Linked DNA regions of Pelodiscus sinensis. The protein of the gene in region 1 binds, or shares a complex with, the protein of each later gene. Links are inferred from orthologs where the notes say so. Each region holds a gene or a part of one and is shown in the gene's direction. Other genes may lie near its edges.

Evidence for each region.
Region 2: POLR3C (region 1) and POLR3D share a complex: the UniProt entries of both Homo sapiens proteins name them as parts of the RNA polymerase III complex. The link is inferred for Pelodiscus sinensis from reciprocal best matches to the Homo sapiens genes POLR3C and POLR3D.

Annotation. Positions count from the first base shown.
Region 1 is NC_134734.1:19,515,820-19,522,976, reverse strand, and holds the start of POLR3C (DNA-directed RNA polymerase III subunit RPC3), read left to right. Parts: upstream 1-4,074; 5' UTR 4,075-4,256; intron 4,257-4,608; exon of another isoform or gene 4,609-5,138; intron 5,139-5,233; 5' UTR 5,234-5,253; coding exon 5,254-5,400; intron 5,401-6,152; coding exon 6,153-6,408; intron 6,409-7,157. Other genes in the region: E3 ubiquitin-protein ligase RNF115, read right to left, coding at 3,700-3,786. UniProt on the Homo sapiens protein: DNA-dependent RNA polymerase catalyzes the transcription of DNA into RNA using the four ribonucleoside triphosphates as substrates.
Region 2 is NC_134738.1:11,408,495-11,415,586, reverse strand, and holds the start of POLR3D (DNA-directed RNA polymerase III subunit RPC4), read left to right. Parts: upstream 1-3,991; 5' UTR 3,992-4,127; intron 4,128-6,170; 5' UTR 6,171-6,183; coding exon 6,184-6,348; intron 6,349-7,092. UniProt on the Homo sapiens protein: DNA-dependent RNA polymerase catalyzes the transcription of DNA into RNA using the four ribonucleoside triphosphates as substrates.

The DNA of each region.
Region 1 (7,157 bases):
GAATCCTTCTGTCGACCCAGCTGCAACTACACCAGGGTTCAGGTCAACCTAACCACAGTGCTCAGGGCAGGAAACTTTTTACAGCCCTGAGTGAAGCAGCTACGTTGACCCGTTTTGAGTGTAGACCAGGTCCAAGTCACTGTCTGAGCTACCTCACCCTAGAAATAAACAGGTCCGTGGACTTCTACTGGACAATTCAGAGATCTGAAATAAAATCCTAATGTAGCCCTTTGCAAACATCAGCCCATTGCCCCATGAAACCAATGCTTGCCACATTTTACAGATGGGGAAACTTGAGGCACAAAGCAAGGAAGTGACATGGCCAATGCTACAAAGCGAGTCAGAGCCCAAGTCAACTTTAGAACTAAAGAGTTATCCTCCCAGTTTCACGCTCCTTAAGGAAAGTTTACACAGGCTGATTCACAATGACAGGCTTTCAAAAGAGCATAAGAGAGTCTTACTTCAGAAATAGGCCCTGACCTGCCTTGTCATGACATTACTGGTTGTCTGGAGCATGATGGGATATCTCTTGCTCCCCCCAGAACTTGAGGAGCTGACTGAAAGAGGGGTGATCCTTAATTCAAGCAGGTTCCCATCAGGTTGTGTGCGACAGGAACAGCAGAAGATAAAGAGGTTGTCACCCCAATACTGGAGAGGTTGAAAAAGTGAAACAATTCATTGGTTTGGCAGGTATAAATCCTGAACATATTATTTATAAAGTCTGGGTAATAATAGCTCACATTTTTAGAGTCCATATCATCCTCCAGAATACCTGAATGCTGTGACACACCATCTCCCGCGGGGTGAAGACAGCAGTTGTTCAAGAGAACAACACAGTTCCCAACTACAGAGTGGGAGAGGACTAGCACAATGCTGCCCTGATCCCAGTTAGGGTTCTGGGTGCTCCTAATTATAACAATAAAAGCCAAGTCAAACCATTAATCTTATAAAGAGTCCAGGATGTCTAATGCCCATGCAGAGCAAAACTGAAGACTCTGACTTAGAAATAAAGAGGCCTGGGTAGGAATGCTTATAGAAATATACAACAGGGCAAAAGAAAAGAGGCAGTCAATGCTCACATGTTTATACTGTGAATATTTGAACAATGTATCTCATACATGGGCCCGGAGTTCTTGTTCCAAAAAACTCACTAATGGCATCAGGAAATCCTGAATCCCAGTTACGGAAGAGAATTAGTTGTGAGCAATTTAGGGCAGCATTGCTTTATAACAAAAGGACAGTTGTAACATAGGAGAGAAAACTGCTTAAGTCAGCAACAGAGGCGAGAGGCATAAAGAGGGAGTCGAACATGATTTGGGAGGGAGAAAGAGAAGAGAAAATACCAGAAAGCTGGGCTACTACCTTGAGGGGATGCAGGGTGAGTTTGCAAACAGAGAGCTAAAGGATCAATTTGCATTTCGGATGGACAAGCACCAATCTCAACAGGACTATATGCAGTTGCAGAGGGGTGAGCTACCTGTAATGGAAGCTAATGAAATTTTCTGGCTCATCATTCCTGTCATGTATGAATGATTTTTAAAGTAAAACAAAAATCTCCAAAGCATCCTCTTACCTCCTTTCATGGTGCAGAAGGGAAAAGCAATAGTACAGCACCATCTCATTTACCTAAATGTCAGTATGACCCTGAATCAGTCTGGATAACTAAAAGCTGTCCATCATCTATGAAATACCCAGGAATTGGAGGACAGCATCTGTTTCAGGATCCAGATTGATGAGGTTTTGCTACAGCAGCTTGCTCTTCATTAAGTTCTTTCATCCAAGAATCTTAAAGTGCATCACAAATATTAAAAGCCTTACAATCTTCCTACACCTGCTCTCTCAGGAGGTAGGTAGATAGTCTAATTTTACAGGTGGGGAAACTGAGGCACCCTTTCAACAGAGAATCTCCACACGTTCCCATATATCAGGAAAAAAGATATTATGTGTCTGATCTAATCTGGCCAAGCTACATTATCTGTTCCTTTCCTCAAATAGCCTCCTGCTTCGCCAGGACATCTCCACAGCCAGGAAGTCGCCAAGCTGTGGTGTGTGATGTAACTAGAACATCAGGAACATAAGGACAACCTCTGACTAACCATTTTGGATCTAAATGGAGACCACAGATTGGATTGGTCCACCCACCTCCTTCATCCTATTGCATAAGTGCCGGGGTTGCTTGTGACAGTCCATCTAATACACCACACATACCACCAACTCTAACGAGATACAGGACTATTTTACTAGGATACACATGTCCAGAGAGGGTACTCAAAAGGAAAACTCTTCTCCAACGGCATGAGGAGGAGCTCCGGTGCTTCAGCCTCTACTTATCCTTGGTCTGCGGAACTGAAATTTGCTCTTCTCACTGTAGGAATTGGGAGTCCTCCCTTGATGTTGTAGACCGAGCTAGATGACCTCTTGAGGCCCCTTCCAGTTCTACAATTCTATGCCACTGAGCCTCTCCCCTGAGGCTTTCCTGCAACATTAGAGAGAATGGGTGCCCTTGCTATCTAGCAGGCCTGGAGCCACTGTGAAGGGTGAGCTATGGTTTATCTCCACTCTCAGAAGGGTTTAACCATCCCTACGTTCCCAAAGGGGCTCTTAGAGCATCAGGAGAGAGGTGCCTTCTGCTTTCTGGGGTAAGTGCCTGATGTGCCTACAAGTGTCTCTTCCCCTTCTCTCCATAGGGAGGATTAGGATATACGCCCTCCCAGCTGGGGATGTAATAGCGTAGTCGATTAACCAATAAGCAAAACCTTATCGACTAATGCTATAGACTACACGCATTTCTCCCCCCCCCAGCCTCCCAGGTACATTTTTTAGCAGCCGGGGCCAGCAGCCTGGCTCAGTTCCAGCTCGCACTGGGTCCAGGAGCTCAGATCCCCCTCTCCCCCACCTGCTGGACAGGGTCTGCTGTCACCCCACGCTGCTGCCTCTGTATCAAAGGTTTGGGGCTACAAGGGAAGCTGGTTTTTAAACCAGCTCCCCTTGCGGACCAGCTCCCGCCTGGCAGTCCACATGGCTACCTCTGATACAGAGGTAGCAGCGCGGCGTGGCAGGGGACTCCTTGGGAGTTGGGCCAGAGCGCACTGGCTGCCGGCCCCACTCCCCGGGGCCATAGAATAGTCGAGTAACCGATAACAATTCATGAGGTCAATCGACTAGTCAATTAACCAAAATCTAACATCCCTACCCCACACCTTAGTGGCCAGGGAAGCTTGAGGTTTCACCTCTCGGCCTGAAGCGGGGCAGGGAGCCCTTTGCATTGTCACCTCTTTGGAGGACAACTGGGGGCTGAAGACCTCCCCTTCCAGTGCCCCCCTCCCCTTCCAGTGCCCCCCAGGGCAGGACAGAGAGGGGGGAAAGAAGCCTCAGGCCAGGGATTACCTGGGGGGGGGAGGAGTTGACCCCCCCCGGGACACTGGGGACTGGCCTCGCACTTCCTGCTTCCCTAGTGAAGGGCAGATGGGGGGGGGGGGTGCAGCCCCCTCCCCCTGCACGGTGACAGGGTTTCAGCCCCCCCTTCTCATGCGAGGGGCGGGGGCGGCGCCTCTCCCGCCTGGCCCCGCTGCCCCGAGGACAGGGGCTGAACGCTCCCCCGGCCTGCGCCCCTGGGGGGGGGATCGGGGTTGGCCCCCCTCCATGGGGGGTGCAGGGCCCCCCCCGCGGGGGACGAGGGGTCCGCGCCCCGCCCCTTACCGGCAGCTTGGGGCTGACCTCCCCCTTGCAGCTGTGGCAGAAGAAGCGATGCTGGGACACGGCGGCCGCTGCCGAGGCCTCCGCCATCTTCTCTCTCCCCCTCCCCCGGCTCCCTGCCTGCCGTCAGTCCTCCGCGGGCCGCGACTAGGGCCCGCACGGATAGAGCGGCGGGGGCCGCTCTAGCCGCCCGCTTCCGCCTACTCGCTGGTGCTCCGCTGGGCCGGGGTAGGAAGCAGTCAGGCCTCCGCCACGCCAGAGCAAGGAGAGAACTGCAGGGTAGAGCGGCGCCCCTCGCTTCTTCCGTGTCCCAAGTCCCAGCGAGACCAGGCGGAAGGGGGAGGATAGAGCGTCGCGCCGTAAACTCCGCCGATGCGCATGCGCAACCAACGAGCCTGGCGGGGGGCGGGTAGAGCGGCGCTGTAGCCCTGACGGCCTCCAGGGCGGATCGCAGCCATGGCAGGCGACCGGAAGTAACCCGCGTTGAGCCGGAAGTGGAAGGGGTTGCTATGGTTGCCGCAGGGGCCTAGGCGTCTCCCCTCCCCAATTTGAGATCCCAGGTGAGTGGGAGCCCTGAGGCAACGGGGGAGGGGGCTCTGCCTGGCCGGGGGGGGCAAGGAACTGTGGAGGCCGCTCCATGAAGGCAGCCGGAGCGGCCTGCCCCCCAGCCCCATGCCGGCTCATCCCTGTCACCGTCCAAGGTCGGGCAGCGGAGCTCGAGCATCCCGCCGCCGAGGGGGCGCCCTGTCCTGGCCATGGGGCCGCACCGCTGAGCCGCGAAGGGCTGTTTGCTGAGCTCTCGGCGCCCGCCCGCCGGTCCTTGGCTTCGCTAGACCCCCCCCCCCCGCCGCTTTCTCCTTCCCCCCCCCGTGCTACCCTCCCCCCAGGGGTTCGTTAGCTCCCCTAGTGCTGCCCACGGGGCAGGCCCCATTTTAAAATCAACGCCCAACGGCCCAGCAGGGTTGCCAGGTGGTTTCCACAGAAACCCTGGACGTGACGTCACAATGTCCATGACGTCACAATGCCCGCGGCCTCTCGTGTAGCAAAGACCGGACCCGTCCCTTGTCTCCGTTCTATTGTCTCCATTGGGTTCCCCCACAGAAGGCTCAAATCCTGGACTGTCCAGTTCAACACCCGGCCACCCCACTGGCGAGCCCGATTCCCTGCGGAACTGGCGCAGCCCTAGGGAAGCGTGTGACACGTTTCCCCCACTCTGCCCTGCCGGGATCATCTCGGGGGATAGTCTGTGTTTCGTCACCGTGGCTCATTCGGTGCTTGCTGGGGGTGCTTGCGTGCCTGCCCGGTTTGACTTAAAGCGGACTGGCTGTGAAGGCATTTTTTATTTGAGCTGAGCCTCGAACCCACTGCATTCCTCTCAAGCCTGAATTGGGAACAACTTTTGGTCTCTGCTGATAGACCAAATCAAACAGGCGACTTGAGAGGTGAAAATCTTTGCGTCCCACCAGCACATTTCCTGCACTCTCCTGTCTCACCTGATAAGAATTTTAATAAATGTTTTTCCCCCATATCCTTCTAGTATTTTAATTTGACGGCAAGATGACTCAAGCAGAAATTAAACTCTGTTCCCTCCTGCTGCAAGAACATTTTGGCGAGATCGTGGAAAAGATAGGGACTCACCTTATCAAAACAGGCAGCCAGCCACTGAGAGTGATTGCCAAGGACACAGGGATGTTGCTAGATCAGGTATGTCTAGAATCCGCTAGGAGTTATCCTCCCTTGGATCACAGATGCTAGATAAATGCTACTCAGCAGAGCTGACTGAACTATTATTTGCTCATTAAAACTTGTCTGTCACCATTTCTAGGCCTCCTGAAGGATTCTGTTATTCCAAATGCGTTTGCAAAAGGCAAATTAGAATTTGAACATGTCTCCTTAAAACCAAATCTGTTTCTTTAACAGTACCAATTGCAATCCATGGGAGTTTTGTCATTGGCTTTAACAGATTGGTTCTGAGCTCTTACCTCTCCCCAGAAGGGAAGGCTGGTGGTCTAATTTAGTGTAACAGAGTGTGGAGAGGACAAGAGATGAAGTTAGTGCAGCTTGTAAAGAATAAGGAAGTGAAGCTTACTTGCTTAAAGTTGCACTGTGAGTCAGGACTACAGTTGAGATTCCCAGGCCCTGCCTTGATTAGGACAAGATCTCCCAGGTTTCTTCTTCTCTTAATTCTGTTAGCCCCTGAGGAATGTCAAACATCACCCTGCTCTCTTCCAAATAAAGATGATCTGGTGAATGCTCAGTAGCTTTATCTTTCATTGTTAATGATCAGTGCTAATTGGGAAATTAATGGCCCTTCCTGAGACTATGGATGGAGCTAAAGCACCTAAATATAGGAGGGGAGGGCATTCCCTTCCTGATCCTTGAGGTGATCAGACCTCAAGCATGAGGGTTGATTTTCCCCCAAGTACGGCTCTCATTCCTTTCTCTGGCATGTGCAGGTTAAGAAAGCTCTCTGTGTCCTCATTCAACATAACCTGGTGACCTACCAGCTGCAGAAGCGAGGCATTGTGGAGTACGAAGCTCTGTGCAGTCGGGTGCTGAGGATCCTGCGGTATCCACGTTACATCTATACTGCCAAGACCCTCTACAGCGACATGGGTGAATTGATTGTGGAGGAGCTGCTGCTGAACGGCAAAATGACCATGAGCGCTGTGGTGCAGAAGGTTGCAGACAGGCTGACGGAAACTATGGAGGGTGAGCCAGTGGGGTGTGGAGACAGCTTGAAAAGGGAGCGGAAATCTTTTGCTGCAGTGCCTTATCTATCTGGCAAGTTTTGAGGCTGCTGAGCTGATGCTTCATGCTACCACAGTGTTCAAGTTCTGTACACAACGAAAGGGGATTGGATGGCTTCCAGCTGGATGGAGGGCCTGGTCTAAAGTCCACTGAAGTAAATGGGAATCTTTCCATTGACTTCAGGGGGCTTTAGGTCAGGTCCGGATGGAGCATCTTCAAGAGGCAGTACACAACACTGATGCTTCCAAGCATTTTCAGGAGAGATCAGTATTGTGATCCACATGCTATAGCATGTGGAAACTGAGGCACGAGGCGAAGCAGGCACTGCCAAAGCTCAAACAATGAATCACTGTCAAAGCTGGGAACAGAATTAGCTCCCAGGCCTGTGCTCAGACCATTTGACTATGATTTATTTTGCTGTGTGTTTTACTCTCTTTTTCTCTCAGTAGACATGTGTAGAGACAGCATGGTAGAGAGACCTGGGAGTCCATTCTCTGCTCTACCACTGGCTCACTGTATGACCTAGAGAGACCCCCTTGCTATGCCTCAGCTTCCCCACCTGTACAGTGGGCATAAAAACATTTAACCAAATGACAAGTGCTATACAGATTCCAGAGTGTAAACACTGGTTATCAGGCTAACCCTGTGCTCCATGTGGCGCTGCCATTTTGAAACGCTGTGGGAGCCTATCATCAGCAGTGCCGTGTGGA
Region 2 (7,092 bases), on another chromosome or scaffold:
GGGGGGGGGGGAGGTAAATGTCTGTGAGCTAATGATATTAGAGGTGATAATTGGGGAAGCTATCCGTGTAATGGGTAGGATCCCCCATCCCCCTTCTGTTCTGAAATTTGATTTGTCCTTTTCATATGTGTTCATTTTTTTAATTGTATCCCTTTGGTATATTTAGTTGTGACAATTTCTTCCACTATTTGATCTGAGGAAGTGGGTCTGGCCCACGGAAGCTCCTCACCTAATAAACCATCTTGTTAGTCTTTAAAGTGCTACATAGTCCTGTGTTTTGTTTCAGCTACACCAGACTAACACGGCTACATTTCTATCACGCTTCTGGATGGGTGAAAGTGACCCATTCATTACATAAGAACATAAGAACGGCCAGACTGGGTCAGACCAAAGGTCCATCCAGCCCAGTATCCTGTCTGCCCACAGTGGCCAATGGCAGATACCCCAGAGGGAGTGAACCAAACAGGAAATGATCAAGCGATCTCTCTCCTGCCATCCATCTCCACCCTCTGACAAACAGAAGCCAGGGACACCATTCCTTACCCATACTGGCTAATAGCCATGAATGGACTTAACCTCCATGAACGTATCTAGTTCTCTTTTAAACCCTGTGATAGTCCTAGCCTTCACCGCCTCCTCAGGCAAGGAGTTCCACAGATTGACTATGCACTGTGTGAAGAAGAACTTCCTTTAATTTTATTTTAAACCTGCTGCCCTTTTAGTTTCATTCATTCATACCAAGGAGACCCAAAGTGGTTCACGGACCTTGGACTGGCCTGCAGCACAGGGGAGAATTCACCTGTGGAGCAAATGTGATGGTTCTGTAAACCTGACATTTCCTCTCTGTGTTCTGTCCCCCACCAACAGGGCATAATGGAAATGAAGGCTAATTAGAGGGGTATGAGAGCCCATCAAACCTCTAGGACAGTGTGTCCCAATCGGTGCTCCGTGGAACCCTGGGGTTCCATGAAGGGAAAGTAAGGGTTCCGCAAAAAAGAGGCACTCCCCCGCCCCTTCTTAAAGAGACGGAGTCTATTTTGCAGTTTTTTTTTTCTCGACCAATTCTGGTGGGTCTTTTTTTTTGCTTGACAAATTTTACCCTGGCAACCCTAGGGGTTCCTTGAAATTCTTTTAAGCTGAAAAGGGTTCCATGGAAAATGCATTTGGGAAACACTGCTCTGGGAAGCTTTTTTGTAGGTGTGGCTCTGTGAAACTTTTGAGAGTTTTGCAAAACGTCCCTTCTCTAACTAGGCACCCGTGGGCAGATTTTCAGCTGATGCAAATCAGCATAAAGCTCCATTGAGCAGGTCTTATCATACCTTGATTTTCCAAGAAAACTCTTACTGAAAAGGATGAGCTACGCTGTTCTCCTTTACACCGGTGTCAACACAGGATCTCTCTATTTGTTTCAGTGGAGTTACTCCAGATTTACACAAGGAACCGTGAAATCAAAGTGTAACTCCAGGCATCTATTTCTAATTATAAGCTTGTGCTACGCAGATAATACAGATTCTTATTTGAAAATAATTCTCGACGGGCTTCTAGGCCTCTTACAAAACAAGATTTAACAAAGGAAATCATACAACAGTCCCCAATTTGTGTTTGGCCACAGCTAATAAGCAGAGCCTCAGAAATCCTTTTCTAAAGCTAGAACAGGGGCTCCAATTTGGGCCAAATGAGTTCTCCCTTCCCTCCTGTTAAGGGCATGTTCAGGGGTTCACTGTGGCTGCAGAGACTTGGGTTGCCAGGTGTCTGGTTTTGAACCGGACAGCCCAGTATTTGAGCTTTCTGTTTGGGAAACAAATTGAGAAAATAGAAATGAGAAAATAGAACTGCCCGGTGTTTTCTAAATAAGATGCAATGTAGACTGTGATGTAATGTCAAGAGTGTCCGGTATTTTTGTTGAAACCGTCTGGCAACCCTAGCAGGGATGGTGTGGAAACTGCAGGAAAAATCAGCATCCATCTTCAACTTTCCGCTCTTCGCCTCAAGTGTTAACATGCTCCATTACTGCAGTTTTATGGCACAACAGATGTAATGAAGGAGCTCTGCTTTTCTGAGAGGCTGGTTTAAAAAACACCTTTCTCTTTATGTGTGAAAATGAATACTATAGCAACAATTTCAGCTAGTGGGATTTTCCCTTAGGCCTGGAGAGCCCTCTTGCATTGCCTCCCTCCCTCCTCTCCTGCAGAGGTGTTAAATTAAAGCCCCGAAACACTAGAGATTTTTCTATTTTCACTTAGCACTAGTGAGGTGATACCTGAGGCTGTTTCCTAGCAGGCAGCAGCCACAGAGAGGCGTCAAGGATAATTACAAAGCTGGGGCTTGATTTTGAAAAGCAACTTTGGGCTTTTCTCCAGCAAATAATTACAGGCCCAGTTTTATGGGGTCAAATAATTCGATGTACCAGACTTCAACAGATAGCTGCTTGGCTGCCTCCTGGAAACCAGGTAATCTGTGAAGCGTGTGGGTTTGCAAAATTGTGTCTGAGCATAGAGCTGTATGGGTGTAAAATTGCAAGTATTTGCAACCCCAAGCATTTGAAAATCACGAGCCAGTCCCTGGAGAAAATCAGGAGATTTTTTTTTTAAGATGTTTTGGTTTCTGAGTTTTTGGGTTGCATTCAGGTTACGTTGTCAAGCTTTTCTCCAAAATGAGAGCTTGAAAGGTATTTTTTCTTTAAACTTAAAATCAATTATTGAAATCTTATGTAACTAGTATCCTCCAGAAGCTGGGGTGTGTAAGAAAAACAATAAATAGCTCAAGACCAATCTTCCCTTTAAGCTGTGCAGCCACCTAGGAAAGATTCAAATGCTGCCCAGCTGATTAGCAGATAGCCCATGTAACCGCCACAAGGCGGATTTGAACCTAGGATCTCTGAAGCGGAGAATAACCACACACCGAAGCTGTGTCTAGACTGGCAAGATTTTGCGCAAAAGCACCTGCTTTTGCGCAAAATCTTGCCACCTGCCTACACCGGCCGCGAGTATTTGCGCAAGAACACTGACTTTGTACTGTACAAAATCAGTGGTTCTTGCGCAAATACTCCGACGCTCCCGCTCAGGGATAAGCCCTCTTGCGCAACTGTTTTTGTGCAAGAGGGCTAGTGTAGACAGCCAAGTTAATTTCTTGCGCAAGAAAGCCCAATGGCTAAAATGGCCATCGGAGCTTTCTTGCACAAGAGAGCTTCTACGCTGGCATGGATGCTTTTGCTCAAAAGCAAATCTTTTGCGCAAAGGCACATGCCAGTATAGATGCTCTCTTGCGCAAATACTTTTAATGGAAAAACTTTTCCGTTAAAAGTATTTGCGCAAAATCATGCCAGTCTAGATGCAGCCCTAGTGTGGTTACTCCCACAGCTGGCAGGGTGCGTGTCTACTGGTGGTGCACATCCATACATGCTTGGGTGCACGTAACAACATTTATCCTGCACGTGGGTGGCAAACAAGGGGGAGCGTTGCTCATGCCTGGCAATAAAAACCACAAGAGTTGGCAACACCCTTGCAAAGAATGAGAAGAGGGGCATCCGGGGCTCGCAGGTCAACGTGAGAGTTTGCTCCCAGCTGACGAAGCCCCCAAAGGGAAAGAAAGGCTCTGCAATCCAGGCCCTGGCCGGACTCTGCTTAAAACCCAACTCGCAACACAGGGTCAGCATCTAGCAGCTTCCCCCGCCCTGGGGCATCCTCATGGCCTAGGGTGCTCCGGGGGGCTGGCAGGGGGACGGTGGGGCCAGCAGCACCACTTATGCAGGACAGAAGAGTCTGGACTCCTGGGTCCTCTGCTGGATGGGCCCACTCATTGCCTTTAGCACCCTGCCTCAGTTTCCCTCCCTGCCCACTAGCAGCTCCCTTGTCCCCAGGGAGTGGGGGAGGGGGAGCGCCCCTCACCAAGATGGCGGCCCCTTCCTCCAGGCCAGAGGTCGCCCCTCACCAAGATGGCGGCCCGCTCGGTTTTCCCCCCCCTGGCGCGAGTGCGCCCTGCACAAAGATGGCGGCGCGGCCGGAGTCCTTCCGGTTTTCGCTGCCCCGCACAAAAATGGCGGCGGGCCGGCGTACGCGTGCGCGCTGGAGTTGAAAGGTCCAGGCTGGGACCAAGCGTCCTCCTGGCTGCTGCTGGGCGAGGCCGGGGTAGGAGACGGGGGGGGGGGCGGGAATCTGGACTGGAGGGGGGGCTGAGCCCGGGGGGGGGGGAGTCTGGACTGGGGGGAGGGCTGAGCCCGGGGGGGGGGGGGGAGTCTGGACTGGGTGGCGGGGCTGAGCCCGGGGGGGGGGGGAGGGAGTCTGGACTGGGGGGGAGGGGCTGAGCCCGGGGGGGGAGGGAGTCTGGACTGGGGGGGGGGCTGAGCCCGGGGGGGAGGGAGTCTGGACTGGGGGATGTGGGGGGGTCTGAGCCCGGGGGGGGAGGGAGTCTGGACTGGGGGGGAGGGGCTGAGCCCGGGGGGGGGGGAGTCTGGACTGGGTGGCGGGGCTGAGCCCGGGGGGGGGAGGGAGTCTGGACTGGGGGGGGGCTGAGCCCGGGGGGGGGGAGTCTGGACCGGGGGGGAGTCTGGACCGGGGGGGGGCTGAGCCCGGGGGGGGGGAGTCTGGACTGGGGGGGAGGGGCTGAGCCCGGGGGGGGGGGGAGTCTGGACTGGGGGGGAGGGGCTGAGCCCGGGGGGGGGGGGGGAGTCTGGACTGGGGGGGAGGGGCTGAGCCCGGGGGGGGGGGGAGTCTGGACTGGGGGGAGGGGCTGAGCCCGGGGGGGGGGGGGGGAGTCTGGACTGGGTGGCGGGGCTGAGCCCGGGGGGGGAGGGAGTCTGGACTGGGGGGGGGGGCTGAGCCCGGGGGGGGGGGGAGTCTGGACTGGGGGGGGGGCTGAGCCCGGGGGGGGAGGGAGTCTGGACTGGGTGGCGGGGCTGAGCCCGGGGGGGGAGGGAGTCTGGACTGGGGGGGAGGGGCTGAGCCCGGGGGGGGGGACTGAGCCCCGGGGGGGGGAGTCTGGACTGGGGGGGGGCTGAGCCCGGGGGGGGGGGGAGTCTGGACTGGGGGGGGGGCTGAGCCCGGGGGGGGGGGAGTCTGGACTGGGGGGGGGGCTGAGCCCGGGGGGGGAGGGAGTCTGGACTGGGGGGGGGGGGCTGAGCCCGGGGGGGAGGGAAACTGGACTGGGGGATGTGGGGGGGTCTGAGCCCCGGGGGGGAGGGTGTCTGGATGGGGGGAGGATGAGCCCTGTGGGGGGATCTGGACTGGGGGGGCTGAGCCCGGGGAGAGGGGCTGAGTCCTGGTGGGGTCTGGACTGGAGAGGGGGGGCTGAGCCCTGGGGGGGAGCTGATCCCCAAGCCAGCAAAAGGCAGATCACCTACAGAAAAAGGACAGCCTGAGCTGGGAGGCTGAGCCCTGGGGGGATCTGGACTGGGGGGCACTGAGCCCATGGGGGGTGTTCACCTGGAGGAGGGATTGAGCTTCCTATGGGAGTGGGTTTGGAGGCTGGGAGGGGGGTTTGAGCCTGACGATGGGTGGGGTCAGAGCTCCCTATGGGACGGTGCGTAGAGATGGGGTAAGCCTTGAAAGGGATGGGTCTGAGCCCTTTGCTGGTGGGTGTTGAACTCCTATAGTGGGGGGTCTGAAGACAGGGGCAGCTCCTTCTGCTGCGGGGAAGGCGTGTTCCCTTTTAGCATGGGCTCTGGAAGGTCACTGGGCCCCTGCCTGTGGGGAGAAGGAAAGGTGTCCAAGCCTATGTGACAGGGTGGGGGGGTCTCCGTCCCAGTACAGCAAAGGTTCCAGGTGGGAGGTGGCTCTGAGCCCTGATACAGTGAGGCCTGGGTGTGTGGGCCCTTATTTCTGATCCCCTGTGGGGGGAGCTGGTCCCCAAGTCAGCAAAAGGCAGATCACCTACAGAGCTCAGGCTGTCCTGTGATCAATACACCTTCCCTGCCCCTCCCCACCCGGGCCCTTCAATTAGTCATCCCCTGGGTATCTTGGGTCCCCTTTGTCTCTTGTGCTTGTTAATGCATTGTCCTAGCAGTTATCCTTATTCCCTTTCCTCTCAATTGCAACCAGTTCCTCCTCCTGACTGCGCGGTGTCTGGAGAGTGAAGGAATCATGAAAGCTGCTCAGGAAATGGGTTTCTAGGGATCAGCTCTTTGGGCTGCTGGACGTTTCAGCCACATTCCCACTGATCTCTCTCCTGCCCAGGTAACTGGAAAGGATGTCGGAGGGGAGTTCAGGCAACGATGCTGGCAACCCAGGCAGCCTCCGGCCTGGACTCCCTGGGGCACGAGGGCTGATAGGGAGGAGACCTGCCACCCCAATTACGCCTGGGCGCCTCCCCTCCATCCGTTCCCGAGACCTTACCCTCGGAGGCGTAAAAAAGGTAAGTGTCCCCGATCGCCCAGACGAGACTCCTCTCCTGACTTTCTTTAACCAAATGAGTGGCCCGTAGAATACATTTGATCTCAATTTATAAGACCTTATCCTGCACCCCCCGGGATCAGTACCACTGACTTTACCAAGTGCTGGATCTAGCCTGTAATATCCATGATTTGGGGCTGTACTAATGACTGAAAACACATAGTTACTGCTCCAAAGGGTTTGCCCCCCTCAACAGACCTGCTTAAATCCTGTTGCGCAGACGCTTCTCTGAAGGATGCTGCTAATTGTTCTTGGCTCATTTTCAGAGTCTAACAAAAGCTGCCTCCTACTGACACGCAAGAGCTTAGAGACCCAATTTTTTTTAATTACAATAGTTTGTGTCCACTTGTGCTTTGTATCTTGCTGCCTGGAGGAAGGGGCATACGCTAAACACAAACTGCTTGGGTTAAAAAGTAAGTTGTCCGTTTTGGAATGGCTCACGCCTTCCTGTGCAGATAAGGAGGAGATGACGCTATGTTGACTCTTGCTGTGATCTGATATGCCAATTCCTGTGCAGAATAGTTGTTGGAGCGATCAGAACGCTTCTCTGACACTAACTCGTTCTGAGGCCTTGGCACTTTCTGTTTCCTTTTCCCATTTGGAAAGTGGGGGAACACTTGTCTACTTGCCTTATAGGGCTGGGTGTGAGGGTCAATCAATTAATGTCTGAAGAGAAGTCAGAAAACAAGTCTTAGATTAGGGGTGG